Caenorhabditis elegans: one gene and its partners. The protein of the gene in region 2 interacts with the protein of the main gene of each other region in a biochemical or structural test. Each region holds a gene or a part of one and is shown on either strand. Other genes may lie near its edges. The genes, in order: unc-5, dpy-19 and mig-21.

Region 1 (10,352 bases), on a different chromosome or scaffold from region 2:
TGTGTCGATTTACGAAATTTTCCTCGTTGTCATCATTTCGTAAATCGACACAAATCGTCTCTTCCGCGCGCCCCGCCCCATTGGGTCCCGGATGTCTGTCACTCTCTAACTATCTACACTCTCTGTACCGGTAATACCCAGTCGGGTTTTTAAATGACTTCTGCACAATTGAAAATTGTGATGTAGTTTTGAAAAACACCATACTAAACAATTACTGTTTCATGATTATATTTTCCGTGGAGCAATTTTTGAAATCATCGATTGTACTAGTATTTGGGTACAAAGAACTGGAACTGGGAAATATAAGCATAACTAAAAAATAATTTAATCTTTACTAGAATTTGGAAGTATTTCAAAGGAATTCAATTACATAAATAGGTCGTAAGAATCTGGGAACATTATTTTTGGCATTTTTCCGAACTTTAACTGGTTGGGACAGCGTTTGTATAATATTACAACTTCCAAATAAACTTTAATCGGTTAAAATTATCTGCTTTTGTCTTACTTTACATAGATTAACTGATTCAAAGAAAATTAATCAGTGTTTCAGTAGGTGCTTAAAATAACATATGAAGTTATTCGCTTATTGTTATCATTGTATTTACCGACCGAAAAGAAAACTATATTTTTGAATCTCTAAAACAATCGTTCCATTTTCAAAACGCTCATAAACATGATGCGTAATGAAATAAAAATCAAATAGAGAAATGACGCGGCTGGCTCCTTTTTGCCCTCTAAAAAGGACATACTCATGATGAGTCTATAAACAATAAAATTGAGAAGAAGGAAGGTCAATTCTTCTGTTTCTTCTTCTTCCAAAATGATTCAAAAAGAAAACAAGAGGATGAAGCAGCAGATTGAGGGAAATCAGAGAAACGGAACTACTATAATCTTAATCGAATCAAAAAAACGTTGTGATACCACTGATCTTCTGTCATACCATATTAGAAATGTGAAGAGAGAGGTAAAATATGGTGTAATTCGAATAAAAGAGGAGAGAAAAGCAACAACATCTGCTGTTGTAACCACGCTTACTGTATCTGTCTCCTTATTTATGTCGTATTGTCTTGAATATAATAATGACAGTTACATTTGGGTTCATGTACGGTAATTATAGGATACATAGAGAGAATGAGCATCATTATTTAGATTGGGCGGTTTGACATTCCGAAAAAAAAGTGACTGGAAAAAATTTACTGTTTCAAAACTTTTTGAGAAAATTTAACAATTTCTGGTTTTCTGATTGGGTCCCATCCGCTTTTTGAGTTTCACAGGTATATCATGTGAATGCAATATCAAATCCTATCAAGCATGCAATTTTGATCAAGACATTAAGAGATGATCTTGAATTTCGGTAATTTAGTTGAATTGTCAGACTTCAGTCCAAGATACTATTTTTCTGCAATTTGGAGACATAACATATTTTAATTCCTATCAGTTTCAAATTATTTATATTTAGAAAAAGAGGTGTACAAATTTAGTCTGCATCATAATTGAATTTTTTCGAGGTTTCTTCAAATATAACTTATTCTGTTTTGCTGTTTTGGTTATTTTTTGGAATTTTGATCCAGAATCCCAGGAATTTTTTAGGAAACAAATAAAAGAATGCCCATATTTTTAGATTTTTTAAAACTGGCGGTTTGACTTGTCAAAAAAAATTCGGTACAAAAATTTACTGTTTCAAAAGGTTATCAAAAAAGTTTCACAGTTCATATATTTGATTCCATTGATTTTTTTGCCAGCGCCTTTATTATAATTTGTAGCTTCTAAGAATTATTGGTTTTCTGAATAAAAAAATTAACAGCAAACTAACAACTTTCCAAATACACTTTTTAGTTCTCCTATAAACATCTGGAAAGAGAAAAATTTGAGTTTCGAAATTTTGAACAGAAAATATGTGTTGTGATAATAAATGTCTTTTGTTAGTTTCTAAATTTATTGTTCTCATTTTTGAAGAAAAATAAACGATGTTAAAAATATTACAATCTACTTACTAAACTCGGGGCTAATGAGATCAAGCCAGAAATTTCAAATGATTTTATCTGTAATTCATTTTTTCGTTGGCCTATTTTTTTAATTTAAAAGTTTTTGCATTTTTGCAGTTCAAATATCCATTCTCAGAAGAAAATTTCAAATCTTATATTCTTTAAAGCATCTTTTTTTTTCGGTTTCAGCAATGTTTATTGTATACTTAACAGTGAGTTTGTAAAACTAATCACTTTAAACATGTTTATCCGAAATTCCAAAAAATTACTGTTTCAATAAACTTGTATCAATCATAGAAAATTGACTTTCTATTGTTCCATTGTATCAAATTCAAACGACTTCTTTATTAATTTTTTTTTTGTAATTTAGCAACACAATCATATAAAAATTTGACTTTTTTTATGTAATTCCGTAAGATAAAAGTAATTCCAAATATGGAAAAGTTGAATGAGAAAGTTTTTCTTGAAATTTCAAGAATTTTAAAAAACTTGAATTTTTTTCGGTAAACGCCATGTAGGCTGGCTATTCTACCTACGTACGCCTACAAAAAATTGATTACCTGTAGGGAGTAGTATATTTCAATTCCTGATCCCTTCCTCCAAACTTTCCCAGTGTTTGCCACTATCCCTGTTTTCTCAAAAACCCTAAAAATATATATACTCATTTTCCACCTCAATCATTGTTTCCACTAATAATTTTACACTCTTTTCCATCTCATTGACGTCTTTCAGTTGTTGGTTTTTTCATGCTTCTCCTCCTCACCAATTGCCACTTCATCCTCCCATACATCTCAACTTTCTTGATTATTTTTCGCCCCAGAAAACCGCCGATTCATCATAAAAATCACACCCGAAAGCTCTTTTCCAACTAAACCAACTGCTCGTTTCACAATAATTCGAGAGAGTGATAGAGACCGGAGAGACGCACAGAAACACCAGGATTTTTGATTTTGTGACGGAAATAGATAGAATTTGGGGGTTCTTATGGTCATATTCGAAACATTTACAATACTTTGGAAAAGGATAAATCTAGACTAATCAAGGTTATAAAGTCTTCGAATATTTAAAAGTTTCATAAAACAGAAATTTCATTTTTTGAATTTTCCCAAGAATACTGGAAATTGATTGAGTTCTAACCGCAAAAAGTTGGTCAAGTGTTTTAATAAAGTCGTCTGGAAAATATTCTGCTAAATCTAACGATTTTTTCTAGTTATCATCCATTTTTAGCAAATTTTCAGATAGCTTGAAAAAATTTACAACAAGTTGATTTAGGGGAAACTTAAGAAAATTAATATTTTGAGAATTTAACAGCTTTTGGATAAATCACCAAAAATGAAAGAATAAATTGTTTGAACGATGATACCATGATGTTAATAAATGCGATTATCTCTACGATGTTTGAAAATTATATGAAACAGTAAAATAATTGCTAACATTTTCAATTTTTTACACTTTCTCATAATTGATGCTGCTTCTGTTTCTGTGTTTAACGCTACCAATGTAAAACATAATACAAAATAAAATTTCAGTGTAGGCACCACACAAAAGATAGACTACTGCCAATTTACAGGTTAGTAGTTTTGTTTTCTTTTATTATTTGAATTTTGAATTGATTTTTTTTTAATCGTAGATCTGATTCGAATAATCTGCACCCGAATCTATTCTACAATGGAGAAAATGGAAGAAAATATGGTATTTAATGCTCTCATGGAAACAGAATTTTTAACTATTTTGTTGGGAAAACTTGAAAAATTAAGAAAAAAAAATTACAGTTTCATATAACTTTCAAACTTTGTAGAGATAACTGCATCTATTTCATACGCCAATGGTTTGTACTAGTTAAAATAATTGTTGCTTTAAATTTATATTTCACTTTTGTTTCGAACGCCGGATGACGTTTAAAACTTCTAGACCATCAAAGTATGTATATTTCCGCCATAAATTAAAAAATCCTGCATAAGAAAGCCAGGCGCGGCCAGCTTGAAGGTAGGCAGGCACTCAGAATTTGCCTTCGTGAGATAGTCCTTCTAAAAATCCGTGCTATCGCGGGAATATAAATTTTGATAAGAAAATTTGAAAAAAAAATTTCAAATTTTTTACAGTTTCATCTATCTTATATATATTGTAACGATACTCGTATTTATTAGTATAATCTTTATTTTTATCGCGGCTGGACCTCACTATCAGATTATAAACTGAAATTTTATCGCAACCAGTGTCATAATACAAACTATGTGAAAACAGGTGACACCACTCCCGTTCACCCATTAACCTCTCCCAATTTTACAACATCTATCAACTGGAGAATCTATGAGCCATAAAGTAAACTAATGCGTAAGTAAAATATTCTGTTTACACATGTCAACAGTTTAATAAAGCAACAACATATATTTTCGTTCTGATTGACATTTGACATTAAGGTATACCTGTGGGGGAATGTACGGGGGGTCCATCAAAAAGAGAATACCGCTCCCCCCCCCCCCTCCAGGTACGTCGTCATCATCATTGACTCAGGAAACGTTACAACAATATCATTTGGCGGCAAAAATCATCGGACCTAGTCATCCGTGGTGTGAATGGGTGATGATTGGAGAAGAGGGGAAAGAGGTGAGCACACACACAAAAAAACAACAGAAGAAGAAGAAGAAGCAACTGGTGGTGGTGGTGAAAAGAGTTCTGGCGAGAATTGGGATTAAGTGGCGGCACGTGTGTCTTTGGAGATGGGACACCTTCTCAAAGGTTCAATGATGTATGAGTGAGTGGGAAACGGAAGAAATTGGAGAAAGGGACTAACTGAAGTAAGGTAGAGAATGCCTGCCTGTTTCTGTGCCTACTTATAGTTTTATGATGAGTCGCAAGACCTAGATACTGTCGGCTGCTAGTGAACTCATGTTTGATTTTATGAAAGAGCAAAATAAAAATGGATATTCAAAAGGCAGGTAGACGTTAGGCAAATTAAAACGCCTGCCTGCCATCAATGAAAGCGCTAGAGTATATTATGACTGCTTGATCAAATTTTTCTTGAAATGTTAATTTTTAGAAATATTGACTAAACTTTAATTTGTTAACTTTTCCGTTATATTCCCAATTTTAAGGAGAGGTGTGATTGATAACGTTTCATAGATCAGACTTTATTAAAATTGTGAAAATGTATAGAATCTCTGCAAAATTCACGTGATTTTTAAATGTTACAACCAAAGATAATTTTGAGGTAAGTTTTAAAGTAACGTTATTGTTTCAAGAAATGTTTTTATAAAAAAACACAGAAGGCAGTCTGCAAAGCGAGAGAGTCTGCCTCCTCGTCGGAGGGAATTTTTACTTTGGGAAAACAGTTCAGAATTTTTTGCAAAACTATATAAACATTTTATAAATGTTTTTTTAACAAACGCAATCACATCACAAGGAAATTTAAAATACTTATACAATTTCTGAAACAGTAATTTTTTTCAAATTTTTTAAATGTTCAAACCGTGGCCATACAGATACCAAAAGTAAAACAAATCTAGTATTTACTGACAAATCATCAAAAAAAAGTGTCATAGCTCCTTGAAACTAACACCAAACAATTCACTGACCCCTCTTAATACTTCCTAATATTTACCCCCGTTACCCCCTGCCGGGGGCACCCATTGGCATATTTTCTAAACAAAGAAAAGATAGTCCTTAACTTTTTTATAAGTAGGATAAAATAAGAGGGATTAATTCAAAAATCAGAAACTCACTTGATTTGTAGTCCAAGAAATAATCGCTGTATGCTGCATCTCCATTGGAATCTGAACTCACATCGGGCGTGTCGTCCTCCATCTGTAGAATTTCAAATTTTCAAATTAAAAGGAAAAACTGATGGAAAGAATAAAAATCAAAATGAAAAAATTGTGGAGGTCCCGTGAAGAAATAAAAAAGGTTTTTGTGAGCACGGAAGACATGTGAACAAGAGGAAGAGAGAGCGGCGATTCTTGTAATAAAAACCAGATGTTAAAGAAAGGATAAAGGTCCGAAAAATACAAATTGGACAACCAACCAGACCACAGACAGAGTTCAATGTTTTCTAGATTTGGGTTGGAAAAAATAGTGAACTTTTCTGTCTGTAAACTTAGTAATTATAGATTTTTTTCACTTTCTAAACTGATTTTTTTTCAATGATCCAAAATTATTTCTTATTTAAAAAATGGAACGAAAAACCACAGAACATCAAAACTTATTTGAAATTACATTTTGAAAAAAAACATGGTGAAACAGTCAACTTTTTAATTTAATTACAATATAGGGGTTACAATTGTTGACATACGACTATGGTCTTGAAGTTGCATTAAATAAAGTGAATCTACTGAAACAGACAAATAAATTTTATAAATTTCAACTATCTAGAAAAAAGTTTTAGATAACTTTTTCGTGATGTTTCGTGCTGATATGTAAACTCCTTGCTGCTCAAAAAACTGTAAAAATCTGTTTGCAATGTTATTACACTTCACCTACAGAGACATTTTTGTATTTTCTCATAGAAAACTTATTTGACTTTTTTACAATCATAGAACACTCAAGAATTTGTTTTCGGATTAAATACAAAGGTATCATACGAGGCAATGTCGGAGAAAAATCTGAATTTAAAAGAAGCCTTACTGAAACTGTAACAATATTTTGTGCTTCAAGAAACTAAATTCTCAAACAAATAGGAGGTTATTGGAATTTTAAACGAACTTAAAAAAAGGGAGTTGATTTTTTTTCTTCAATTTGCACACTTTGGTTTAGTTTGAATATAATCAGGATACAGAAAAAATTGATTTTGATGAAAAAAAATCATCCAGAGAAAATTTGATCCAGTAAAAACATGTTTCATAGTTTTGATGAATTTTATATAATTTCACAGTTGTATTAGAATTGGAATAATACCCGTTCAATTATTGAAGAATTTTGAATTTGATAAATATTCAGACCAACTTTTTCTTACATGGAACTCATAAGCTTTATTGTCTCAATAACAATAATGGATTCAATAAAACAAAAATACTCTTAATTCACAAAAGATCCAATTGAAACTGTAAAAAAAATGTGTGCTTCATCTTCAGTGATTGAATTCTGAAGGAATAGAAAATAGTGGAAATTAAGACAACAAAGCATGGAATCTGAAAAAATGGAAAATTTTTCTAAAAACATTTTTTAGAGATCATTATATGGGGAGTGGTAATTTGAATTCCATTGTTACGCAGATTCTAGAAAAGTCGTCTTTGAAAATACTTACTATTCACTAGAGATGTTAGCTAGAGAACAATTTTTTCTGTAAAAGCCTGTTTCATTATTTTGATAAATAAACCATGATTTTTGAAATGTTAGTGACATCTGAACATTTCTTTTTTAAAAAAATTACTGTTTCAAAGTCAAATGTTATAATTTTATTAAACTTTCAATGTTAATCGTCCTATGTGTCAAGCAGAGCAAGATTATGTGAGAAATTGTGAGAAAATATAATATTTGAGCAAGTGAATGAAAAGAGTACCGCCTAACTCAAAAACTTGAAATTAACATAATAAAGAGAAATTCTCGTGGTAAAGGCGGGAGATTCCCTGAAGGGTTACTGTAGGTTTTCATGGGTTGGAAGGAAAAACTACAAATTTGAATAATAGGTGTCTTAAAAATTATTTGAGAGGTTTGAACAAAAACATTTGACAAAATAAAAAAAAACAAGATAAGATAACAAATATTTGGACTACTGTTTTGCACTTGTTTCAAAAAAAATAATACAAGAAAGTTTTCGCTTCTATTTTGTCAAGTTTTGCAGATTTGAAAATACAATGAATATAAAGAAAAAAAATGTAATCAAGAAAAGCATAGCAGTAACAATGGTATATCGGAAGTTAGGCTGATATTTGAAAGCATTGTAAAACTGCAATAATTGATTTTTCAAGTAGAAAACAAAAAGTTAAATTTTGAATTGAAAAAATGATTCAAACATTTTTATTGGTAACGTACTTACACGCTTGTATAAACTTAAAATTAATACTTGAGCAGATATAAAATATATTTTTTTTAAATATAATTTGAAAAGGTATCAGAAAATTAAAAAGAAATTTAAATTGAATTGTATTCTTTTGATTTTTGAAATCGGTGTATTAGGGTTTATTAAGATTTTAAAGAAAATTGGTCTAACAGGTCAAAAAGTACATAAAAACATTTAACTCCGAAAATAAAAAAAAATTATTTTCAAAATGTTGAAATTCGAAAATTTAGCCGCTTCACACAGTTTTAATATTCTTTTAATTTTTTTGGCAAATAATTTAGGAATAATTTTAGGGATAATTTAGGAAAGGGAAAATGATCTCACAATTAAATTCATAACGGCGAATATAAAAATAGCAAAACTATGAAATAAAACTGCAACAGAGAAAAAAAACACGAATTTCTTTCAAATAAAATTGTCCCCCCAAAAAAAAGAGACAACAAGTGATTCGATTTCCCATCAAATTTTCAGTAGTACTCACACCCTTCTTTTTTCTATTTTTTCTACAACACTACTATATAAACTGTCTCCTTAAATTTGATATCTCTTAAAATAAAGCAATTTCAGCACGCTTGTCTGCCAAATTGGTCATTAAGTTGGCAAGTTATTATGGAACATAAAATGTTTCAAAAGAGCGTTTCCAATTTCTTATCACTAGATGGTGGTAGGAAGATGCATATAATTTCCAGTTATCAGTTAATCAGTAACGTAAATATCTAACACAGCACTGCTAATTTCGGAGAAAACAAGAAATAGAAAACATGAAACAGCAATTTTTTTTTGAAAAAAAGTTTCACATAAAAAAGGAATGAAACTGAAAACATAAACAAACAAATTTCGACCGATTTTTCTTGTTATTTTCCACAAATCTTTAGAAAATGTCAATCTTTTGTGGGACTCTCCATCTCACTCTCTTATCACCTGGGATCACTTCTTCAGGCTCCGCCTCCATCAGCTTTCATCTTCACAGGTGAGTTCTTCTTGGCTCCAGGTGATGAGATACAAAATATAAAAAAGAAGAAGATTGGAACAAATGGTTAGAAAAATGTTTGGGTTGTAAATAACTCAAGAGTTTGTGACAGATTTTTAGTTGAAATTTAGAATTCATAAAACCCTGTGCTTTGCAAATAATACAGAAATTGAAGGAAAAAAATTGTGGAAGAAAACGATGGAATTAGTTTCAAAATTCTAGATTTATAATTCTCAAAATCAAATGACGCAATAATAATAGTACTAGTTTGCTCAATTATTTTGAAGAAAATTTGAAACAGTAAAACATTTTTCCAAAAGTTTTCAGAGTTTTGTAAAACGTAGAGATTTAAGGTTCTTGTGTATTATCGGAACGAAATTTTAAATCAAATTTTTAAATATTTTAAACATAGCACCGAGTGAAGTTTTTTGTTTTCTATTTTTAGGCTTCCTTAAGCTTACACAGATAAGCTGCATGTTTCATCAAAACATATTTTATTAAAATGGAGAAAGAACTTAGATTTAGCTTAATTTTAATTTGCGTTCCGATAATACACAAGTACCGAAAATCCTTAGCCTACAAGGTGGCCTACAAATGCCTCATGACTACACGCGTGCCTAATGCCAAAATATAGAAGAAAACCTCAAGAAAGATACAAAAATTAGAAATTGTGAACAAAAAACTGAAACGAGTTGAAATTTGTTTCAACTTCCTCAATAAATATTAATAAACCGGGACCGATTCACCAATTAATCATAATATAATGCTCAATCATTTTTTAAAAAACTTGAAACGGTAAAAAAAACTTCTTTCAAAATTTTTGGAATTTGGTAAAACATAGACATTAAAGGCACATGTAACCGATTATTACCCACATCATTAATAAATTCAGGCCGAAAATCCAAAGCCGAATTTTTAGCTCGTAGCAATTTGACTCCTATAAACCATGCTTTAAACTCAAAAATGGCTTGATTATTCTCTAACATATGATACATTTTTAAATTAAAATAATTCACTTCGCGAGATTGTAAAAAATAAGCCAGTTCAATTATTTTCCAAGAAACTTGAAACGGTATTTTTTTTTGGAATTTGGAAAAACATAAATCACGTGCATTTCGTTCGACTTCAATAAAGTAATCAAAAAATTATTCTATGTAGGCATAAAAAATGTTTGCCTGCCTAATGCCTACAAGTCTGCCAACTTCAAAAATGTATGTAAACATGTTCAAATTTCGATAAACTAATTGAAACCAGGGGAATTCATACCAAAATTCAAAAACTTTGCAGGCAAGAGGTAGGCACGTACGCCTGAAGACGTAGCTCTTCCATTTCGATCAAATTGAAAAATCTCGAGAAAATTATTTACTGTTTCACAAAAGTTAGATAAATTCATACAGTTAAC
Region 2 (10,465 bases):
GAAATTTATTTTTATCTAGTTTTTTTTTTTTTGGATTTGAGTTTTTACCCGAAAATTGTATAAGAGACATAAACTATTTTTAGTTTCTCTATTCAATAGAAAACTTACCCCCAATGCCAAAATACTTGGAAAATACAATGCAGTAATCATCATCTCGTTACCAAAAAGCAGCAAAAATCCAATGAGAAATGAAATGATATGAGAATGAATTACTGTTTTAGCAGTAGAGAATGGAATCAGATCCAGTGAAAACGCTAAGAATATTGAACAAATTTGTGTGAAAAATGCAAATTGGGTGAATTGCCAGAATAAAAGAGCTGGAACTGCCATGGAAGTTAAAAGAAGAATCATTGAGTGACCAGACTTTTTATATCTGGAAAAATGAGTTTTGAGAACATCATATGCCAAAGAAAATTAGCATTGCTACGTCTCGCATTTTCGTCATTTTTTTTGTCATAACTTACTTGATAACAAATGTCAAAATCGCAATATGCCCGATAATAAACGGAAAAGCAAAGCTCTCCCGAAGAGGAGGTGTCCATTGAACTCGAGTTGCTTCTCCGTGATTAAATGCAAAACATAATACTGACAAGAATCCTCCGAATATTGAATCACTGTAATATATATATTTAGTTAAAAGTAATAATTTTTGTGTCGCTCACCTAACAAGAACACCCAAATAAAAAATGGATGAAGCTACAGTTCCAGCCACAATGAAAACTCCGGTTATATAGAAATAATGAGGATTTCCAATTCCTTCACAACTTTCAACAGGCCGAAGTTCTCCTCGATTAACTTGCCAGCATAGTTCGATTTGCCAATTCGCTGATTTGGCAAATGCTCGGAATGGGCGGTACAGAAATGCAAGGATTACCTAAAATAAGCTTGGAAGGATTTTAGGTATGGAGGAAATTGAGAGAAAATGTAATACAGGTGAATGTATTCTTGTGGTAATTAGAAGTTTGCCAAAGGTTTTTCCGACGGAAAACATTACAATGTGAAAACTTTGCGACTCACCTCTGGATATAAATTAAATCGATTTAGTGTGTTAATCTCGTGTCCATGTTCTGTCACAGTATCATGTGTTATCTCCTGAACACCCTCAAGAAATGATGGTGCATTGATTATTGTTTTATAGTATGAATAGTAGAGACCCTGAAAAAACAAGAAATTTTGAATTTGTATTTTTAAAGAAAACTGTACCATTTCCGTTCGATATGCCATCTCGCGTTCAAAGTCCGCCAAATGGGAGAAATGTTTGTCGTTTTCGAATAATGTGTAGACATGTTGGTAGTTGATGTATCCAACGAGGAGTCCTGAAAATAAAAAAAACTGTATTGAAATTCGTTTGAGCGTAAAATAATTTGTCGCAAGTTTGATAAAGATCCGAGAAGACTATTTCTGTAACTTGCATGATTGTCTGCCAACTAATTATTTTCTGAATTTTTCTGTCAGGTCACATGCCATATCCGGGTGGAACAGGACCACTTTAGAGATTGATACGGCTCTAGTTTAATGAAGAGCAAAAAATCTGCAGGTAGGTCAGTAGGTAGGTGTTGTAAGCAGGCAGACATTTTGAACCCTACATGGACACCCCATTTCAAATAACTACTATTAAAACATAGTTTTCTTAAAAAAGTATTTAATTTGTTTCCCCACCCAATTGCTCTTAATAATCCTCATTGGTTCTCCTAGTTTTACTCTTTTGTTCCCATTTCCCTTTTTTTGCAATTCAAAACACATCCAGTTTTGAGAGAGAGGTCTCTCTCTCTGTCCCTCTCTACCTCCCCCTCTCTCTGTAATTATCGACTTTGGGGACGAAATGTCAGTTCATTTGTGGAAATAGTTTATGAATCGGAGAGACTTTAGACACTTTGAACAAACCGTGTCGTCGTCAGTGACGAGACACAAACACAGGAAGTTTCGTTGAATATGTTGATGTTTCTGTTGACGTTTCGTTCCCTAGTTTTTAGAGATTGAGAGCATCTAAGGATTAAGGTTCAATGTTTCAAGATTTAAAGTTTTGAAACATAAGTAACAGAGTAAATGATATGATTTAGATAATTTTCTTATTTTTTAATCTGGCAAGCACGCTCAACTAACAAAACACGAATCCGACAATCAGTCAAACATCTTAAACTTTTTAAAAAATTGTTCATTCTTTATAAGAGCGAATTTCAAATTTAAAAAAAACTTTAATTAAGCTTCAGGTCAAGCAATTAGGCGTTATTATTAATTCTGGCAAGTTTCCGTTTTTCAGATATAATCATTTCAATTTCGATTCTTTCTTCAAAGTGTCTGGAAAAAATGCTCTTTTTTAATAATTTCGCCGAATCTAATAGTTCTAAAATTTTATGTTGAAACGATCAATTCTATAACAGTATATTCAAAAATAACCTCACTAAACTTGAATTTTTTCCAAAAAAAAGCATTCAAAGTGAGCAAATAGTTTTGGTAATACAGGTGGCTACAAATTTTCTGTCAAAATGTTCAATACACAAAGTGTGAGCAAGAGCAGAACCAGTTTTCAAACATATTGCTCTCAGTTCTCACTTTCATTTTTGTTTGTATTAGAGGCTCATTGAGCAATAGCAACTTGAACTTTACTTACTGTTTGTAATAGCTTAACTGTTCACATTTTTACTAAAACTTTGCAACCTATAGGTATACCTAATAATTGGGTTTTTCAATTTTGTATGAGAAATCACATCCCGAAACTGAATGGAAACTTTCTGATTAAAATGGATATCACTTCAAACATAGTGTCTTTTAATATTGTCTAAGCCTGTATGACAGTGATAATTTCTAATAAAGAGGCGCAGAGAAATTAGATAATGACCGATAATGATGAGATGAATGAATGTAATGATGTGGGAAAATAGATAATAGAATAAGAAGTGTGGGCATAATGATTTAGATGATAGAAGCGTTCAGTCTAGGAATCATTTCAAGTCAATATCACTAATTATCTCATTTATTTTTGTTCCTTTGATTTATTCGTTTTGGTAGGGCCGTTTCATCTTAAAGCGTATATTCAAAACAATTAAAAAATCGTTTTTGAAGTCTTCCAAGTAAAAATAAATATCTGCTTTGTGCCTATATTGCGCACCTATCATTTAATTTCTTAAATGGGGCGTAGCAATTTTGGACTTCTGCTTCAATATCTTCAAAATGATCCCAATAGACCGAATTTCATAATGTGACTCCTCGAAAATTTCTTATGAAGATACAACATTTTAACACTGTTTTCTTTCATAGTGTCCAACGCCTGCCTTTTTCCTACACTAGTTTTTTTTTCAATATCCTTGCAAGTGCACCTGCAAGAAAAGTTTAACAAAAGTTCTTAAACTTAAAAAAGTAGGTGGTAGGCAGGCACGTAGGTGCGCAGGTATGTAGCCAATAGATTCTCAAAATATAATTATAAAAACTCTGCATTTCTTTTTATTCATCCTAAAAGCGCATTCTACTCAAAACCCAGTCACATGCTCTATTCACAAAAGTCAATTTTTTTTCATCTGCTCTCCGCATAAACTCTTGCTTCCAATTTCCAGATGCATTTAATGTCACGTGCGTTCACTTTTTTCCCTTCAAGCTTCCAGAACAAAAAAGTCTTGTGATGTTTCGCTCAGAAATTTGTTTGAATAGATGATAATTGGATTTCGGTTGAATTATTTTTGCCATCGCATGTCCTTTCTTCAATTCTCAATTTCCAGTTTTCGTGTGATTCTCCAAAAGTTTCAAACATCATCCGAATTTTCTTGTTTTTCTATTATGTCACTGATTTCCTATTTATTTTTCATATTTTTAAAGTTTTTTTTAAGGGAAAATGAAAACGCCTGCAATTTTATTACTCCTATTCTTATTTATGATGAGTTTGGCACAAAGTGATGAGGAACAAAGTGGAAAGGAACCTCCCGAAAAAGATGATGTTCTAGTTATTCTGGTTGGTTTTTGCCAATGTTACCATGTCAGAAATGCATGCATGCCTACTTTCGGCACATCTTCGTTTTCTTTTCCCGTATTCTATGTTTTAATTTTCAGGCAGAAGACAATTCGACACTATTAAACAATAACCAAACAATGTATGACCCTTCTTCCGAAGAAAAAGAAAGTGACAAACCAAAATTCAATTTATTGGAGACATATTTACCACTTTTCATATTTGTACTCGATCTACCAACAGAGGATAGAGAAACTTTGAAAGCCTATGTAAAAGATAAAACTTATGAAAAACTGAAATATGTAATCGATTCAAAAGTTAAAATGAATCGAAATGAGAAAAATGTCTTAGGAAGAATCAATGAATCCTTGGTACAATCAATCGATAATTTGGAACATTTTGATGAGATTACTGTAGATGTGGTGAATGGTTATCACGTAAGTTTGACATTTCAATGGAAAATCATCTCTCTTTAATCTTTAAAATGTTTTATTTTCAAAAAAAACCTTAATATGACAATACCAAATTTTCCTTCTATAACTAAATTTCTAGAATGCCTCCGTATACAACGCAATCCGTTCAGTTTGGTTGAAACAATTACGTCCATTTCTGCCGCTAATTGATCAAATGGCCATTCAGCAGTATTTTGCACAAAGGTTTCAAACATCAAGCGTCTATCAAAAACTATGTTTATTTTCCAGAAAATCTTCTGAAACTGAGAAAATGTCAATTTGGGCAAGATTATGGGAAAATCTGAGTGTTTGGATGTATGGAAAGAAAAAATTAAACGAATGTTATGCAATGGAGCCAAAATGTGTTCGACACGCATTGGAATTGCTTAATTTTGAACAAAGGATTGATTTGGATTTAGCTGCTTATGAGAACAAGTTTGACAGTGTTGATGGAATTATTAGGGAAAGAGTGAGTCAATTTAGATATTTAAAAAATGTCAAAAGCCCCAAAACGAATTAATTTTCAGCTTGGCGAAAATCGGAAAAGCAGTGAACTCGACGAATGGTTGCACAGAAATCGCCCACCAAAAGCGCTACAAGCTATTTTAGATGAGCGAAGTGACATTGAGGAGGAGTAAGATATTTATATTGAATAGATAAACGTTAGATTTTTAGAGCTCTTCAACGCCTTCGAGATAACGGAGTTCTGAGCTCACTCAAACATTATTACAAAGCAGTTATAGAGTCAAGAAGTCATGAAGAGCAAGAGGTAACCAATGTTTTAGATAGTTCTTGTCAATTTTCTTACGCATTTTTCGATATTCTGCTAATGGGTGCAAAGTTCTAAATTGTTTTTAATTGTAGCTTTCTATATTAAACTTTCAGGACATTCGTCATTTCTTCGACATAATGAATGACACATTTGCTCGTTGCTTTGACCCACTACGAGGCCAGTATCATGATTTCTAGAAAAACCCTCTTTTTGACTTCTTCCTCCATTTGTTTTCAGTCTCATTTAAAGTTGGAGTGGCATCGGAATATTTTTTTTGACTATTCATATGGTGCGTAGAAACATTTTTTTCCAATTTTTTTCGAAATTCGTTGTCGGAAGCTGGGAATTCTCAGCTTTTGTGAACAATACTTTTGGTATTTGGAAATTGGTTTTTTAAAAAGTGTTTCATAACAGTACATTATTTGGTTGGAAAACCTAAATATTCCAAAGACATGCCAATTTACCGAATCTAAACATTTCAAAAAGTTTATTATGATATTTTGCCACGTAAACTTTTATGAATATTAAAAAAAAATCCCCCACTGACGCTGCTCCAGCTTTAAAATCTCAAACTCTTGCCACTTTGAATGCATATTTGTTCCCTCTTCCTCTCATTCTATTGTTACGTGTATTTTGAATTTAATTTCCTGTTTCATGTTTTTAGTTTGAATAAAACATTGTTCACTCACCTATAATTACAACGGAAGCAAGCCAAGTTTGCGAATATAATGAGGAAGAAGTATCAGAAGAATATTTTGATTTTTCAGGCGAATTCTTGGGTTTCTTTGCCATTTTTTGTCTGGAATTACAACAGCGTAAGAATTGAGAAAACAATTAACGAAAAAAAAAAATACTAAATCCGTTCTGATTAGTTAACAGCACAGAAAAATGTCAAGGAGAGGTTTTAGAGAGAGAAAGAGAGGGAGAAAAAGTGTGAAAAAAAATTAGTGAGGACTGAAAATATGTTATTTCTCTAGAATAGAGATTAGAGTTGAGAAAATATATGAGAAATAGAAGGAAAACATAGAAACTAGCAAAAAGGATAGGGGTGGGAAAATATTAAATTTTTCATTTACCTAAAATTTGATATTAAAATTGCGATAAAGTAGGTAAGGGAAGCGTGTCTTGTAGGCAGGTATTCTGTAGGTAAAAAATTCTTACCTGATTTTTGAGGTATTTATACCTATGCCTACTGCCAAAAAGTTTTTTTTTCAAACTTAAAAAAGAACTATCAAATGAATTGAAAAGGCAAACACCAAACACCAAAGTAAAAAATGCAAAAATGGGTGATTGGTGAGTAGGCAGGCATGTCAAGAGAAAAATAAAAAGTAGGTAGAACATAATTGAACTATGTATAATCTACTAGAATATTAAATAAAACGTTGAACTTTTCAATTTGCTAGCTGAAAATAATTTAAGTTGACTTTGAAGGCTTTGCACTTTTGGTAAAGCAATTTCAAATAGTGGGAATTAGTTTTTAAACATGAAAAAAGGAGATTATGAAGACAGACAGACTATGTTTATTGAGAAAAAAACCATAAAAGCTATACGATTTTCCATCGAGGCGTTTCACCAAGAGACTTCGATTTTTTTGCCCATTTTTCAAAAGAAAAATACTCAATTTACATGAAAATAAACACAGCTTGAGATACCTCTTTCCCAACGAAAAAAAAGGAAATTCAATTGTTCGAACCCGACGCTTTTTCTTTTTTCAGAGATTTTTGTTTAGAGAGAATGAAGTCACGGACAATTTGAAATTTTAGAGGGAATCTATTAGGGAATTAGCAAATAGTATGAACAAATATAATTAGAAAGGGGAAACTTGCAGGGTTTTGCAAAATTAAAAATTGTAGATTTTTACACTTCGAACAAATCCGGAACAGTTTAACAGTTTAAAAAAATGTATTTAAAACAAGTTAAGTTATTTCTTTAAAAAATTTCGAGAAATGTTTCAAGATTTATATATTTATGATTTGTTTCAAAAATATCCAAGAGTTCAGGGAAAAGCCAGAAAAATGACTCAACAAATCAGCAAACAGTACAAGCAAATACAACGAGCATTTAAAATATTTTGGAAGTGAAAACTAAAATTTCAAAAAAATATGGGAACACAACATGATAGTTTGAGTAAAACATTAACCGAATCCTCTTCCTCTACACATTGAATCCAATCCATTTGACAGGCGGTCAGACAGGTAGCCAGTTAGATAGTACTAGGGTTTACAGAGACGCAGACATACCGATAGAGAGTAATACACAATAGATCTGTCCTCTTCTTGTAGTAAAGAAGGAGGAGATAGAATTGAATGAAACAACACTTATTTATGCTTTATTCTTCTATTGAGATATTTTTAGAGAGTTTTGAGTGCTTCAAGTAATTTCAAAAAATTAGGTTTAATGATGGAGAAGCGTTGATGCGGATGATGTTTTGAAACACAACAAAGACTGGAATTTGGAAATACCACAATGGAAAACCGATAAAGATCGAGATCAACAAAATTCAATTTTTTCAAACTTTCTCAATTTCCAAACGATCTGCAGAGTGCTCAGTACTTGACAAGCTTAAAACTACAAAAACTCTGTGAAATCCGCCTTTGAAGAAATTACAGGCTCTGAAAATAGTGCGAATATAAAAACGTCAGTTCGAGTTTTCAGGCTGGTGAAAATCAAACAATTTTGGTTTTTTTTTCGAAATTTTCAGTCAAATATGGAATGGTAAATTTCCAATTGTTGGAAAATTGATTTGATTTGTATAGTTTTTTTTTGGAATGTTCCATACTAAAAATACATTTTCCATCTCTTGGCGTATATTCTTTGGATAAATTTTCAGATAAAATCGAAGCATATTCGATTCCTTCGGAAAAAAGTTCCAAATGGAAAAAACCTCTTCTATTGTTCAGGATTCTACTGAGAACAAAAGTTGATGTTTTTTTTTGAAGTGAGAACAAACCGAAAATGAAGATTGTATTGAGTTGACCAATGAGGAAAAATGCATTCGAGCCGTTTTTATTATTGATGGAGTTATTCGTTTTTATACGATACGTTTTGAGTTCTTGGGAAGAATATTTGTTCCCAATAGTTATTTGTTTGACTTTTTCCAAAATCAAATTTAGATGATCCATCTTTAATACAGAAATATCAATTCAATTAGACATATTATTATTTTTTAATATATTCCAGCAAACAATCGTCCTTCTTCACAAAAGTGCTCAAATTCTAATTGTAGATAAATATTTATTGAAATATTTATTCGGTGTACTGTAGGTCCCAACTTTTGTTACTGCGGAATTTTCATCTATTTTTCATAGTTTTCAACAAAATTGATTTCTTTATTGAAAACTAAAATAAAACACGTAGAAACAATGAAAAATAGGAAAATCACTGAAAATCCCGCAGCAACAAAAGTTGGAAGCTACAGTACTCTTTAAAGGCGCACATATTTTTTGCATTAAAAGAAAATTGGTCGTGTCGAGACCGGGCTCCGTATTTTTGGCGCGAAAATGACAATTTTTCGCGTCTGCGTTATAGTTCGTTGTTAATTTTGAAATTAAGAAGTGTGGAATCTTCTGTGCATTAATTGAATTAGAATTAAATTCATAGGCTTTAGTTTTCAGAAGCTACTGATAAAACAAGAAAACTATGAGCAAGCAAGAAGAAGAAATGCTCAACTAGTGAAATAATGTATTTTATAATAATTCTTCGAAAACTATTAGGCATTTCGATGAAAATGGTTTCTCATATTATTCGGCACTTTCTCAGTTTACACCGAATGGATTAGAACGAGTCAGGCATATTTGGACGGATATTTGTGCGAAACTTTCGTTTTTATTTCCAAATAAAAATGTTCAAAGCAATTGATATGTAACTGAAACTTTATCTGTGAATTAAATTTAACAACAATAACAAAAAAGCAGGAAAGATACGCTAAAAAATGCTAATTAAAAAAATACGATTAAAAATATGCATAATCAATTAAAGGAATCCTCTACAATTACGTGGTTCTCCAACTCCTACTCCACCGAAAAGACGTCTCTTGGTACTAGAATCCACTCTTTGGAATTTCGAGCCAAATCTTGCAGAAACTTTGGCATTTGGTTCCTTGGAATTATCTTTGAATCCCCGAATCTGATTTCTTTGATTTTCGTCCTGGAAAAATTATATTATTATTTAAAAAATTTTCTAACACTTTCCTAGCTTTTATGGGAACGCAGAAAAATGCGACTTTTCCAAAACAACGCTCCGCCCCCGAATCACGGGACTCGTTAGGTATTTGGGGCCGAAGCTGTAAATTTAAACGTTTTCAATTCGTTTTGCAGATTTAACGAATTTTCAAGCATTTTTCGTCTGTTTTCTAATGTTATCCGCCGTTTGCAATAGTTTTTTATGTAGAAATTGATTTTCTAAACATCTTTTTTTATGATATTAAGATTTTGCCGCCAAATACCTAACGAGACCCATGGATCTGGGGTTGTTTTACGTCGACTTCAGAAGGATGAATTTTTCAGATAATTACCTTAATTTTGAGTGAATTCGAAATTCCGAATTTTTCAGAAGTTGGCTCCGTTTTTAATGCTTTCTGCAAATTTCCATCCAACCAATCTTTTTGTGGGATTTTTCTGAAGTTGACTGTCTGGTCTTCAACTTCCACTGAAGTTACAGCAATTTCAATGGAATTTATCAATTCTGTCAATTCCACCGAACTATCGAACCATGGAAGTTTTTCGATTGAGTCTCTAGAGCCTTCGGTTCCAAATGTTTTCACGATCCAAATTGCGCATGAAATAGCATTTTCAACTTTTCCAGAAATCACATCGTTCGAAACTTGACTCCCAGGAATCTGAAAATATGAATTATGTATTTTTTTTTTCGTATTAAAAGTAACGTTGCTTTAAAATATTAGGAATAGTCTGAAAAATAATTAAATTTTCACGTTGTTGAGGTTAGATTCTTATAAAAATTTACATTTTGCAGCGTGGGAAAAAATTTCAAAAAAAAAATCGATTTTATCAAAAAACAATTTATTTCACATTTTTGTATAACTGACACTCGTCAGAATTGTAAAAACCATTAATTTCATCGTTGCATTAAATGTCAATTAATTCTCTGTAAGTTGGGGAGTGTGTGTGTGTGTCGAGGGAAAATGTGGTGCAGCCGACATCTTTGCTGAAACCCAGTGAGATGTCGGCTACGTTCGCATCGCTATAGCAGGACAATTTAGGCAGGGGTAGGCGGGTAGGCATGCATATGAGGAAAATTTGAGATAAGAAAGTTTGCAGTACTAGGGTAGGCATGAGGAAGGCG
Region 3 (9,293 bases), 2.8 Mb from region 2:
TAGTCAGACACGCAATTTTGATATCATATGATATATCATGTTGAGGTATTGTTGAATGAGAAAGGGTGTGTGCCTTTAAAGAGTACTTTAGTTTCAAAAACTCAACACTGCAGAGCTCTGATGAATTTTTATTGATTTTTCATAGTTTCCCGAAAAAAATATGTGTATTTATTAAAAACTCAAAATAAAAAAAATAGAAATACATAAATACATTTTAACAAATCGTGAGGAAAACTATTTAAGATTTTGAAACTACAGTACTCTTTAAAGGCGCACACCTCTTTTTAGTTAACATAAGCTTGTCGTGGCGAAACCAGGGACCTTATTTTTCTCACATGAATCGTAAGTATTTGCTTGCAAAGAATATAGAAAAAAAACGCGAGAACTGGAATTTTCCAACAGTAAAATTAGTAGTTGAAATTCGATGAATTCATATTGAAATATCCGTTCAGAATGTATCCAGTATATGTGAAAATGGACGAATGTGTGTCAAAATGCTTCATAAAACCAATGTTCTCATCTTTGGATGCACTTATTGATGATGCTCCAGATACCGAAGATCTAGAGGTTTCCACAGAAACATTTTTCTGAAAAATCTAGAATTTTTTAATTTCAGACAGCCGGGATACTTCTCAGCGAGAATGGTCGCGTTCTTCACGATTTGAATTCATATCTCGTCGAACGAATCATTGTAAAATTGCGTCATAAACTTATCAGTGAAGATCCAATTGTCACTAAACATGTCCGTCAAATATTCATTCATGTGAGGAAGATCAGAGAATGATCAATTGATTATTTGATTTTAGGTGTATGATCTTTGGGCATTTGGATGGAGTGAGCTGAATATTCCTGAATGTCTTCTCACTTTGAGTGCAGAAGGGAAGCTATCGATTGTTGATCAGACACCACTTCGGAAGAATGATATCAGCAAGCAAGAGTTCGGAAGCAAAGAGAGCATTGTTTGAATATATTGAAGTAGATCCTTAATATTCCCACTTTTGGTGATTTTTAGTTTTCGGGTTTCATAAAATATAAAATTTCGGTGAAATAAAACTTCATTTCGGGGTCAGTGAAATTATACAATCTTGGGGACGAGGTTGCGAAAAATCTATTCACAGGAAGTTATGCGTCATCGCTTAATAGGAATGCTTGGCAACGAAGAGAGACTCGGCGGCGGCTCCAGCTGCGTCTTCTCCGGCGTACTTTCCGAGAGATGCATCTCCATTGGCCTTGGAACGGTGAAGGAGTGTCTTCTGAGCGGCAGCGATGTTCTCGTCTTTTCCGCCCCATGCCTTGAGCACAGAAGCTTGAAGAGCACGTCCATAAGAGAAGGTGAGCTTCCATGGCTTTCCGAGTTGAACCTGTAAATAGAAATGAGTGATATAAGGTTATTCCATTTCGTTTAAATTTACCGAGTTAATAGCATTGAGGTTAGCAGTGGCATCAAGTTCGGATTGCCCTCCAGACAGGAAAGTGATTCCTGGAACTGCAGCTGGAACTCCGCGTCTCAAGGCGGTTACGGTAGCCAATCCAATTGCCTCGTGTGAAGCTTTCGACGCGCTCGATTGTCCTGGAGTAACCATGTTTGGCTTGAGAAGAGTTCCTTCGAGATACACGTGATGATCAGCAAGAGCCTTGTACACAAAGGCAAGAACTTGCTCAGTAACCTTCTGGGCACGAGCCAAATCATGTTCTCCGTCGCAGAGAACCTCTGGCTCGACAATTGGAACAAGTCCGTTGGCCTGGCAGATAGAAGCGTATCTGGCTAGCACATTGGCGTTCTCGAGCATTCCGAGGTGAGATGGGGTGTGAGTTCCGATGTTGAGAACACAACGCCATTTGGCGAATCCACATCCTCCCTTCTTGAAAGCAGCGGCACGTTCGGCAAGCTTGTCGAGCCCCTGGGTGGTTCCCTCTCCAATGGTTCCAGCCAATGGGACAACTCCGAGATCGAGCTTGATTCCTGGGACGATTCCTTGCTTGATGAGAAGATCGGTGAACTTCTCTCCCTTATCGGTGCTTTGATGGAATGTCTCCTCGTAGAGAATCACTCCGGAGATGTGCTGGTTGAGATTTGGAGTAGTGAACAGGAGTTGACGATACTTCTGACGATTTGTCTCGTTGTTTTCGAGGTTGATGGCATCAAGACGCTTTCCGATTGTGCCTGCAAATTGATCGGGTCACGATGTGCTGCATTATAAAAAAGAAGAAATCGGTCTTCCCCAATATCATTTCTACATGTTATCTTTCTTTCTATCTACAATTTTATCTATCACTCGCACTATCAATGCATCAACATCTCCAATTTCAACAACATAAACATCGAAAATTGGAGGCGATAGAGGGCACAGAATATGATCGCTAGACCGTGAAAATTTATTTTTTGAACTTCTGAACATAAGTCGCTAATTCTTATTGAATAGAAAAATTGTCAAAAGATGATTGTGAGAAGATAAGAATCTCGATTTTCTAGTTCTAGAAGAATTTTTCCAATAGCTCACCAGTGGATTCATCGGCGGCGAGGATTCCCTTTCCATCTTGAACAATTTTGAGAGCGATTTGGTGAAGCTCGTCTTTTTGAGCCTAGAAATACAACAATTAAACTAAGAAGGGCATTACAAAATGATGAATGATCAACAAACCTGGGTAAGAGAGTCCTTGAAAGCGCCTCCGACAGTTGCCATCGTGAAAAATAGAAGTGATGCGAAATGAAATGGACGGTCGAGAAAATGGGGAGGCGGAGAGTGTAGAGAATCAGTACAGTCGCCGAGAGTGTGCGCAAAAACGGGAGACGGCGAACGGGCGGCGCCAAATATTGTTGGCGCGCAGAGAACTGAAACGTGATATTCTTGTACTACTTTAGGATGATCGAAAAATTCCGAGATAGAAAGTTTTGAGGCCTATTTTTAAAGAGTATGTCAATTCGGCAAATTAATCTATAGATAAAGTAGATAAATCCCTTAAAAAAACTACACAAAAATTTTTTTTTAATTAATAAAATTGTGCACAATTTTTTAAAAACAATTTTTCACAATTGTGCAGGAATTATTTTCTTAAGTTTTCGGCTGTTTTCTTATAGAAAAAACCGAAAAATTTGGAAATGAAAAAATGAATCCTAAAATTGAATTTAAATGTGCGGTATTGTCGTTGTTAGTCGTTGGCTTGCGCTGCGAGACCCATTTGCGAAAGTACGCCTCTCTTTAAAAGTATAATTAATTCTGATGTTTTTTCTTTAGAATTTCAGTCTTAAAACTGAAGAGTTGAAGTGATAAGAATTAAAAACACCTCACTCAGAGTATTCGTTGTACAGATCAATGATAACTTTTATTATCGTGGCGTGAGAAATGGGCAGACAGAGACTGTTCTCGAAAGCATCCGAAATTCACCAAAAACTTTCATCTTTCGGGGAACCCGGAGAACGAATCAAATGAGAAGGATAGTCACGTGGATTTGAATCATACGAATAATTCAATCTTATGAATCTCCTTTTAAAACGATTCACAACACAATAAATAATATTTTGAAGAAGGAAACCCGTGAGAATACAAAAACAAAATATTGGAATTGCAAAATGCAAGGGAAGACATGATGACGTGAATCTTGATAAGAGATGGTGTTCGATGGAAATAGAAGAGTTGTGAAGAAGACGATAACGGTATGCAACTCCTGGATGCATATGCCATTCAGACCAGTTGGCTGGAAATTATTCTCATTAATTTTTTATCATGTTGTTAACTAACACAAAAATTTAGACAGTAAAGTGGACATTGTACTTTGAAACTTTCAAATTTAGTCTTCAAGTTATGGTTCTTCGAAATTTTTTAACTAAAATTAATACCATGCTTCATTGAGTCTTGAGTCTCCTTCCGTATTCCCACTTCAGTATTCGCCACGTTTGATGACGAACACCAGGCTGAAAACCGTACTTGCTCAATTCCTGAAATTAAATCATTACAAATTTGTTGATATATTTCAGCGTAATGAGACCCATACCATAATTCACCCAATCTGTCCATTCGGACCATTTTTTACTAATTGGACACTCATCTGGGCGGCAATCTTCGTAATCCTTGTCACATCCCTCGCAGGAATTACCTTTGCAGTGCCGAGTTCTGAAACTTGGGTTACTGTACATTTCCCAATTGTTTGAACCTACCGTATCCTCAGGCTACGATCACAATCGCATCGAGACCATGGATTCCAGGATGTCCAGGATCCAAAAAGATACTCCGGTACATTTGAAGAAATTGCACAAGATTGCTTCTCAACTTTCTGGCCAGAACAAGTGGTACCAATTGGTAAAGGATTATTACACGTTCGTCTTCTTTTTCGGATACCTTCTCTACATTTCGACCATTTTGACCACGTTGACCAACCTCCTGGACGGATGCAATTCCAAATCTGCATCAAAATTTTATTGAATTGGTTTTTATCTTTTTGAATGTAGAACCTTAATTTCTCCGCCTTGTTTCGAACATTCACAGAATATACCATTATTAGATGCACACTTATTAGAGACAACTTGAGAATATAAAATGCTAGAATCATTTAAATTAGCCAACGAATATGAGAAATTGACGAAAACGAAGATATTAAACAAAACCATGACAATCATTTTCTATGAAACTCAGTTCTTACTGAATAAGTGAAATTTCTACACCCATGTTTGTTTCTCTTTTCAGATTTCGACATTCCTTCTCCTTTTCCATCTTTCAGATGTCGCCAGATGGCAGGGTTACTGTAGAAAATTTCACTTTTTGCAGTGTTAGAGTCGCGCTCCATTGCTACGCGTGAGAGATAAGAGACGGCAAAGATCTTTTTTTTTTGTTTCTCGGGCGCTATCATTTTAACTTTTAAAACTAGTAAATCTCATGATTTCTCTTGAAATTTCCATTTATAAATTTTCAAATTTACAGCTAGAATGACGGAAAATAAAGTGAATATCACTGATAACCTGGAAACCTTAAAGGAAGGCGAAATTGTGACAGACGAGAAGACCGGGAAGAAATATCGTGTCAAGAAAAATATTATGCCACATTATTCAGCTGGAGGACCACATGGATTAGGTAATTTTTAAATCAGCTTGCGGTTTTTACCATTTAAATACAATATTTGTTTTCAGGTGATCCAGAAGATCGGACTTTGAGGAAAATCGAGGCAGATGTGATTATTCCGAATAGAATGAATACCCAAATCGAAAGAGTGGATTGCAACGAATCTTATTTAGGTTTGTGAATTATTGAAATCATAAAAATAAAAGCACGATTATATAGAGTTCTATTTCTACAACAATTTCAGGACTCATCACTTGCTTTCGAACCGACGGTGCTGTTTCTGGCTTGAACACGTGTAAACCAGCTCTAGAACTCTTTAATCGATGCAAATATGAAAAGTCTGGTTATTTTAATGTATCTCAAAATAACAAGAACATATTAAGATTCCACGATCCAGCCTTCCGAGCAAAAATGACTGACGAGTACATTGCGGAACGATCGGCAGCTCGAGCTACTGGAATGACATCGCAGCAACGGAAAATTGAAGAGTTTCGGGATTGGAAGAAGACAAATGAGCAAAAGTAGAATTCTTTCTTGTTTTTCATAGTTAATTGTTTCCTTGTTTGTAGAATCAAATACAATCCATTTCTTCTGGTTTTTATACTTTTTATAGTTATTATTGTCAAGTGTTCGAGTCACTATATATTATCTCATATTCTTACCATTTCTTCATTCTAAAAATATTATTTCCAAAAACTCGTTAATTCATGAATTATTCTTTCACTTTACATTTTATTTTTGCCAGAGAATATAATAGTGCAACGACGCTCCGTTGAAAATCGATACGCGCTCTGTTTAGTTGCCAGTAAACTACGAAAACGCTGGTCCGTTAAACTTTATTGATTTTACTCTTTTAACGTTGTACGCAAAATTGAAAATTTTCTGCTAAATAGTTATTTCTGTCTGTTCTATTTCAGATATGGGGTTCGTTATTTTCTTTTTTAATTCTGAATGTGATGTTCGAAGTCGATATGTTTCGCACAAAAATAACTAAAAATTAAATAGTTGCTATTTAAAAAAGTAGGCAGCACCATTTTTTCAAACTAAAGTACTAAATAAATGCTAATTTGGAATTAACTTTTCGACGTGAACTTTTTTTGTCGAATATTATTGATTTTTCCTAATCTCCTTCAGTTCTTCTTTTTCTTTACAGAGAAGAAGTTATGTCAATTCCAGTGCCAATGGAGACAGGAGCAAATTCCGAAGCTTGGAAAAAAGCGAATGAAGCATTAATGAAGGTTTGTAAATATTTCATATGAACAGTTGTTTCAATTTGTAATATTTCAGATTCAAGGTGGAATGTCGAAAGGACTGAATGCATCGAATGGTAACAACAATACAGGTCAGAACTCTTGGATGAACAACTCGTTTTCGTTCCCAAATCCCCCATCCGCTTACGGTCAATTCGGTGGTGGTTTTCATCCATCCACGTGGGGCAGCGGACCGATTGTCCCACCACCACCACCACAACAGTCGGCGGTGAATGCAACTGCTCAAGCAGCTTATAACCAAGCATCTTTTAATTATGCACCACCACCACCACCACAGAATTGGAATAACGGGTACGGAAGAGGGCGTGGCGGAGGAGCCAACAACTGGAATCAGCAACAGAGACCTCAGCAGTTTCAGCCATTTGCCTTGAACAGAAAGAATAATTCGTCCGCATTTCCGCATCTAACTAGCACGTTCGTACCGCAGGGCGGAGGTCCACAGCCATTGATGGGAGTTGGTAGAGGACGCGGTGTTCCAGCTCCAGGACCAGCCAAGCCACCACCTCCATCAGCCCAGTAAGTTTTCAATTAATTATCATCTTTGTTTTTATTGTTGCAAAATTATTCAACATTCTATTTTTTCAGACGGTACATGGAACGTGCTTTCGAGGCGGCGAACACTGTCGAAGATCGTCAAAAAACTCAAGAATACCTTCAGAAGAGACTTTTCCCTATGTTGAACGCAGGCAATGCTCACATGGTCAACTGGGACAATGAACCGTTGCCCCACGAGAAAAATTATGAGCTAGCTCCAGCGTGGACGCCAGCTAATAAGCTTCCACATCAGGCTAATGGATTTAATAGAAAAAAGTCGCCATCGCGACGGCGTAGTGATGAAATGTCTAACAGCGGTGCCGCTGGTGGTGGAGGACAAATGAAACGGGCTCGTCGGGATAGTGATGGGGCATCTTCTGATTCTGACAATAGCGATCCCCTTGAGAAAATGCACTTTTCTTCTATGAATCAGGTTTCGATAAAATTAGATAGGGAACTGGGTGGTGTATTTGGGCACGGAAACTTGAGTAGTTCTGCTGAAATTCATACTTATAATAGATCTTTAAAATTACTAAATGTGACTAATTCCATTCAGAAAAAGACAAAGGCTCAGAAAAAGGCTGAAAAGGCAGCGAGAAAGGCGGCTAAGAAACTGCAGAAACAACAAACTCCGCAAAAAGTCAAGAATGCTTGGAAGGTAGCTGGAGGGGATACTGAGGCTCGGAGGGTAAGTTGGATTAACTGAATTTTTCATTTTCTCGAAGTATTTACAGGAAGATCGTGCTCGTCGTTTTGCCGAAACTTTGTACAATGTTTCGAAGCCATCTGTGAGTGTGCCTCAGCACTATTTCAGACGAGGACAAGTGATTCGTGGAACTTGCCAGAATATTGAGAAATCCTTCTTCAGATTGACAGCTGTAAGTTTATATAGGTTTCATTTTTCAGCATCATTAAACCCAAGCTTATTCCAGGCTCCAAATCCATCGGAGGTTCGGCCACTGGAAGTTTTGCGCCTTTCTCTTCAAAATGTACGTGACAAATATCGTGCGAGAGCAGAGTATTCCTATCTGACAAGTCAAATGAGATCGATTCGCCAAGACTTGACGGTTCAAGTGATTCGCAACGAGTTTACAGTCGAAGTCTATGAAATAAATGCTAGAATTTCGCTTGAAAACGCGGATCGAGAAGAGTTTAACAAGTGCCAGTCGCAGTTGAAACTTCTCTACTCGGAAATTGAGAATTGCGCGAATCAGGCAGAGTTTGTAGCTTATCGTCTGTTGTACTACATTGCTATGGACAATCAAATTGATATCAACGCGCTGCTCCGTGAGCTAACGCCGGAATTGAAGGAGAATGACTGTGTTGAATTTGCATTGAATGTTCGAAAAGCTGTGACTATGAATAATTATGTCAAGTTCTTCAGGCTTTTTAAGGCAAGTTGTGAATTTGACAATTTTTAACTCTTTATAAATTCCAATTTGCAGAATGCTCCACGAATGTGCCCGTACATAATGGATTTATTTGTTGATCGAGAGAGAAAGAAGGCACTCGGAATTATCACAAAAGCTTTCCGACCAACAATCACGTACAAATTGATTGCGGAGTTTCTGAGTATGAAGGAGTCGACACTTATTGATTGGCTCGAGGAGGAACTGAAATGGACTGATGTCGAAGTTGGAGGAACATTTGATCCAAAAATCCCAAGAAACATTTGAATAATTTTTTGTTTTAACAATTTCATCCCATTCTCAATCCCCTCGTCCCGATCCTTGTGTGATACTTCTTCGGTAGCCAACTAACTGTTGATATCCACTTTTTTAATTGTGTTGCTGGTAAAATGTTTAAAAATGCAAAATTAGAATAGAGCTCTATAACATTTATTTGTTTTTGTAACCGTAAAATATGTTTTCCATTGTTGAAACTGAGATTTTCAGGCAGTCATGCGTGTTAAGAATAAAAATGTAAAATAGTAATTAGTGAAGGCATTTGTTTTCATATCCAGGGCAAAATGTGAACAAAGCGGTTTGAAGTCGTTGTGGACGATCTGTCCAAAAGTTGTTGCAGTAGGTATCATATGATTCTCGATGTGTAGCACAGAATTGGGATTCTTGAGAAACTCGGCGCTTTTGTATGGGAAGTGCCACATCGTCACGGAGGCCAATACCAACGAATTCGGTTGAGAGATCATCTAGAAATTTCAAGAATTTAACAATACAATTTCAATTTAAATACCTCGAATTCCAATGAGCGGAAGTGTAACAACTACATTAATCATGACGAAGAATGCTGGAAAAGAAGTTGATCATTTTGTGATTGAATGATGGAAAAGTTACCGATAACAGTGATAAGGAAGGAGTTGGAAGAAGTAGACATCTTTTTAGGATTCTTATTACTTTCTGGACTGTTTTCACACTTTTTATATTTTTTTTTTGATTTGAAGAGATGAAATGAAATGATCCACCCCATTTTGATC

The links.
Region 1: of the proteins of dpy-19 (region 2) and unc-5, one has a biochemical effect on the other in vitro, tested with the Caenorhabditis elegans proteins (one study listed by BioGRID).
Region 3: of the proteins of dpy-19 (region 2) and mig-21, one has a biochemical effect on the other in vitro, tested with the Caenorhabditis elegans proteins (one study listed by BioGRID).

The regions. Positions count from the first base shown.
Region 1 is NC_003282.8:5,522,550-5,532,901, forward strand, and holds the start of unc-5 (Netrin receptor unc-5), read right to left. Parts: upstream 5,790-10,352; coding exon 5,708-5,789; intron 5,377-5,707; exon of another isoform or gene 5,356-5,376; intron 5,092-5,355; exon of another isoform or gene 5,071-5,091; intron 4,154-5,070; exon of another isoform or gene 4,133-4,153; intron 3,821-4,132; exon of another isoform or gene 3,800-3,820; intron 3,359-3,799; exon of another isoform or gene 3,338-3,358; intron 2,323-3,337; exon of another isoform or gene 2,299-2,322; intron 2,237-2,298; exon of another isoform or gene 2,216-2,236; intron 1,744-2,215; exon of another isoform or gene 1,722-1,743; intron 1,265-1,721; exon of another isoform or gene 1,244-1,264; intron 1,102-1,243; exon of another isoform or gene 1,081-1,101; intron 867-1,080; exon of another isoform or gene 846-866; intron 609-845; exon of another isoform or gene 588-608; intron 283-587; exon of another isoform or gene 262-282; intron 1-261. UniProt on the Caenorhabditis elegans protein: Receptor for netrin (unc-6) required for axon guidance. Mediates axon repulsion of neuronal growth cones in the developing nervous system upon ligand binding.
Region 2 is NC_003281.10:8,661,520-8,671,984, forward strand, and holds the start of dpy-19 (C-mannosyltransferase dpy-19), read right to left. Parts: upstream 5,964-10,465; 5' UTR 5,957-5,963; coding exon 5,854-5,956; intron 5,847-5,853; exon of another isoform or gene 5,362-5,846; coding exon of another isoform or gene 5,278-5,361; intron 5,162-5,277; coding exon of another isoform or gene 5,068-5,161; intron 5,027-5,067; coding exon of another isoform or gene 4,920-5,026; intron 4,862-4,919; coding exon of another isoform or gene 4,642-4,861; intron 4,597-4,641; coding exon of another isoform or gene 4,493-4,596; intron 4,378-4,492; coding exon of another isoform or gene 4,042-4,377; intron 3,944-4,041; coding exon of another isoform or gene 3,827-3,943; exon of another isoform or gene 3,819-3,826; intron 1,317-3,818; coding exon 1,204-1,316; intron 1,156-1,203; coding exon 1,018-1,155; intron 933-1,017; exon of another isoform or gene 880-932; intron 875-879; coding exon 663-874; intron 615-662; coding exon 465-614; intron 374-464; coding exon 109-373; intron 1-108. Other genes in the region: F22B7.1 (uncharacterized protein), read left to right, coding at 3,827-3,943, 4,042-4,377, 4,493-4,596, 4,642-4,861, 4,920-5,026, 5,068-5,161, 5,278-5,361; pgl-2 (P granule abnormality protein 2), read right to left, coding at 9,137-9,310, 9,678-10,001. UniProt on the Caenorhabditis elegans protein: C-mannosyltransferase that mediates C-mannosylation of tryptophan residues on target proteins such as unc-5 and mig-21. Mediates the attachment of alpha-mannose in C-C linkage to the C2 of the indole ring of tryptophan.
Region 3 is NC_003281.10:5,873,638-5,882,930, forward strand, and holds mig-21 (Abnormal cell migration protein 21), read right to left. Parts: upstream 4,744-9,293; 5' UTR 4,616-4,743; coding exon 4,451-4,615; intron 4,402-4,450; coding exon 4,157-4,401; intron 4,113-4,156; coding exon 3,994-4,112; intron 3,938-3,993; coding exon 3,839-3,937; intron 3,697-3,838; coding exon 3,383-3,696; 3' UTR 3,310-3,382; downstream 1-3,309. Other genes in the region: F01F1.3 (MIF4G domain-containing protein), read left to right, coding at 453-567, 617-763, 807-965; aldo-2 (Fructose-bisphosphate aldolase 2), read right to left, coding at 1,137-1,361, 1,413-2,164, 2,502-2,583, 2,643-2,684; F01F1.2 (COX assembly mitochondrial protein), read left to right, coding at 4,922-5,066, 5,123-5,227, 5,299-5,392, 5,438-5,579; hpo-10 (SAC3/GANP/THP3 conserved domain-containing protein), read left to right, coding at 5,974-5,978, 6,208-6,292, 6,342-6,841, 6,911-7,292, 7,416-7,547, 7,594-7,737, 7,792-8,253, 8,305-8,535; F01F1.14 (uncharacterized protein), read right to left, coding at 8,794-9,008, 9,053-9,106, 9,154-9,286. UniProt on the Caenorhabditis elegans protein: Required for determination of left/right asymmetry in nervous system. Acts together with unc-40 to control an initial left-right asymmetric polarization of the Q neuroblasts.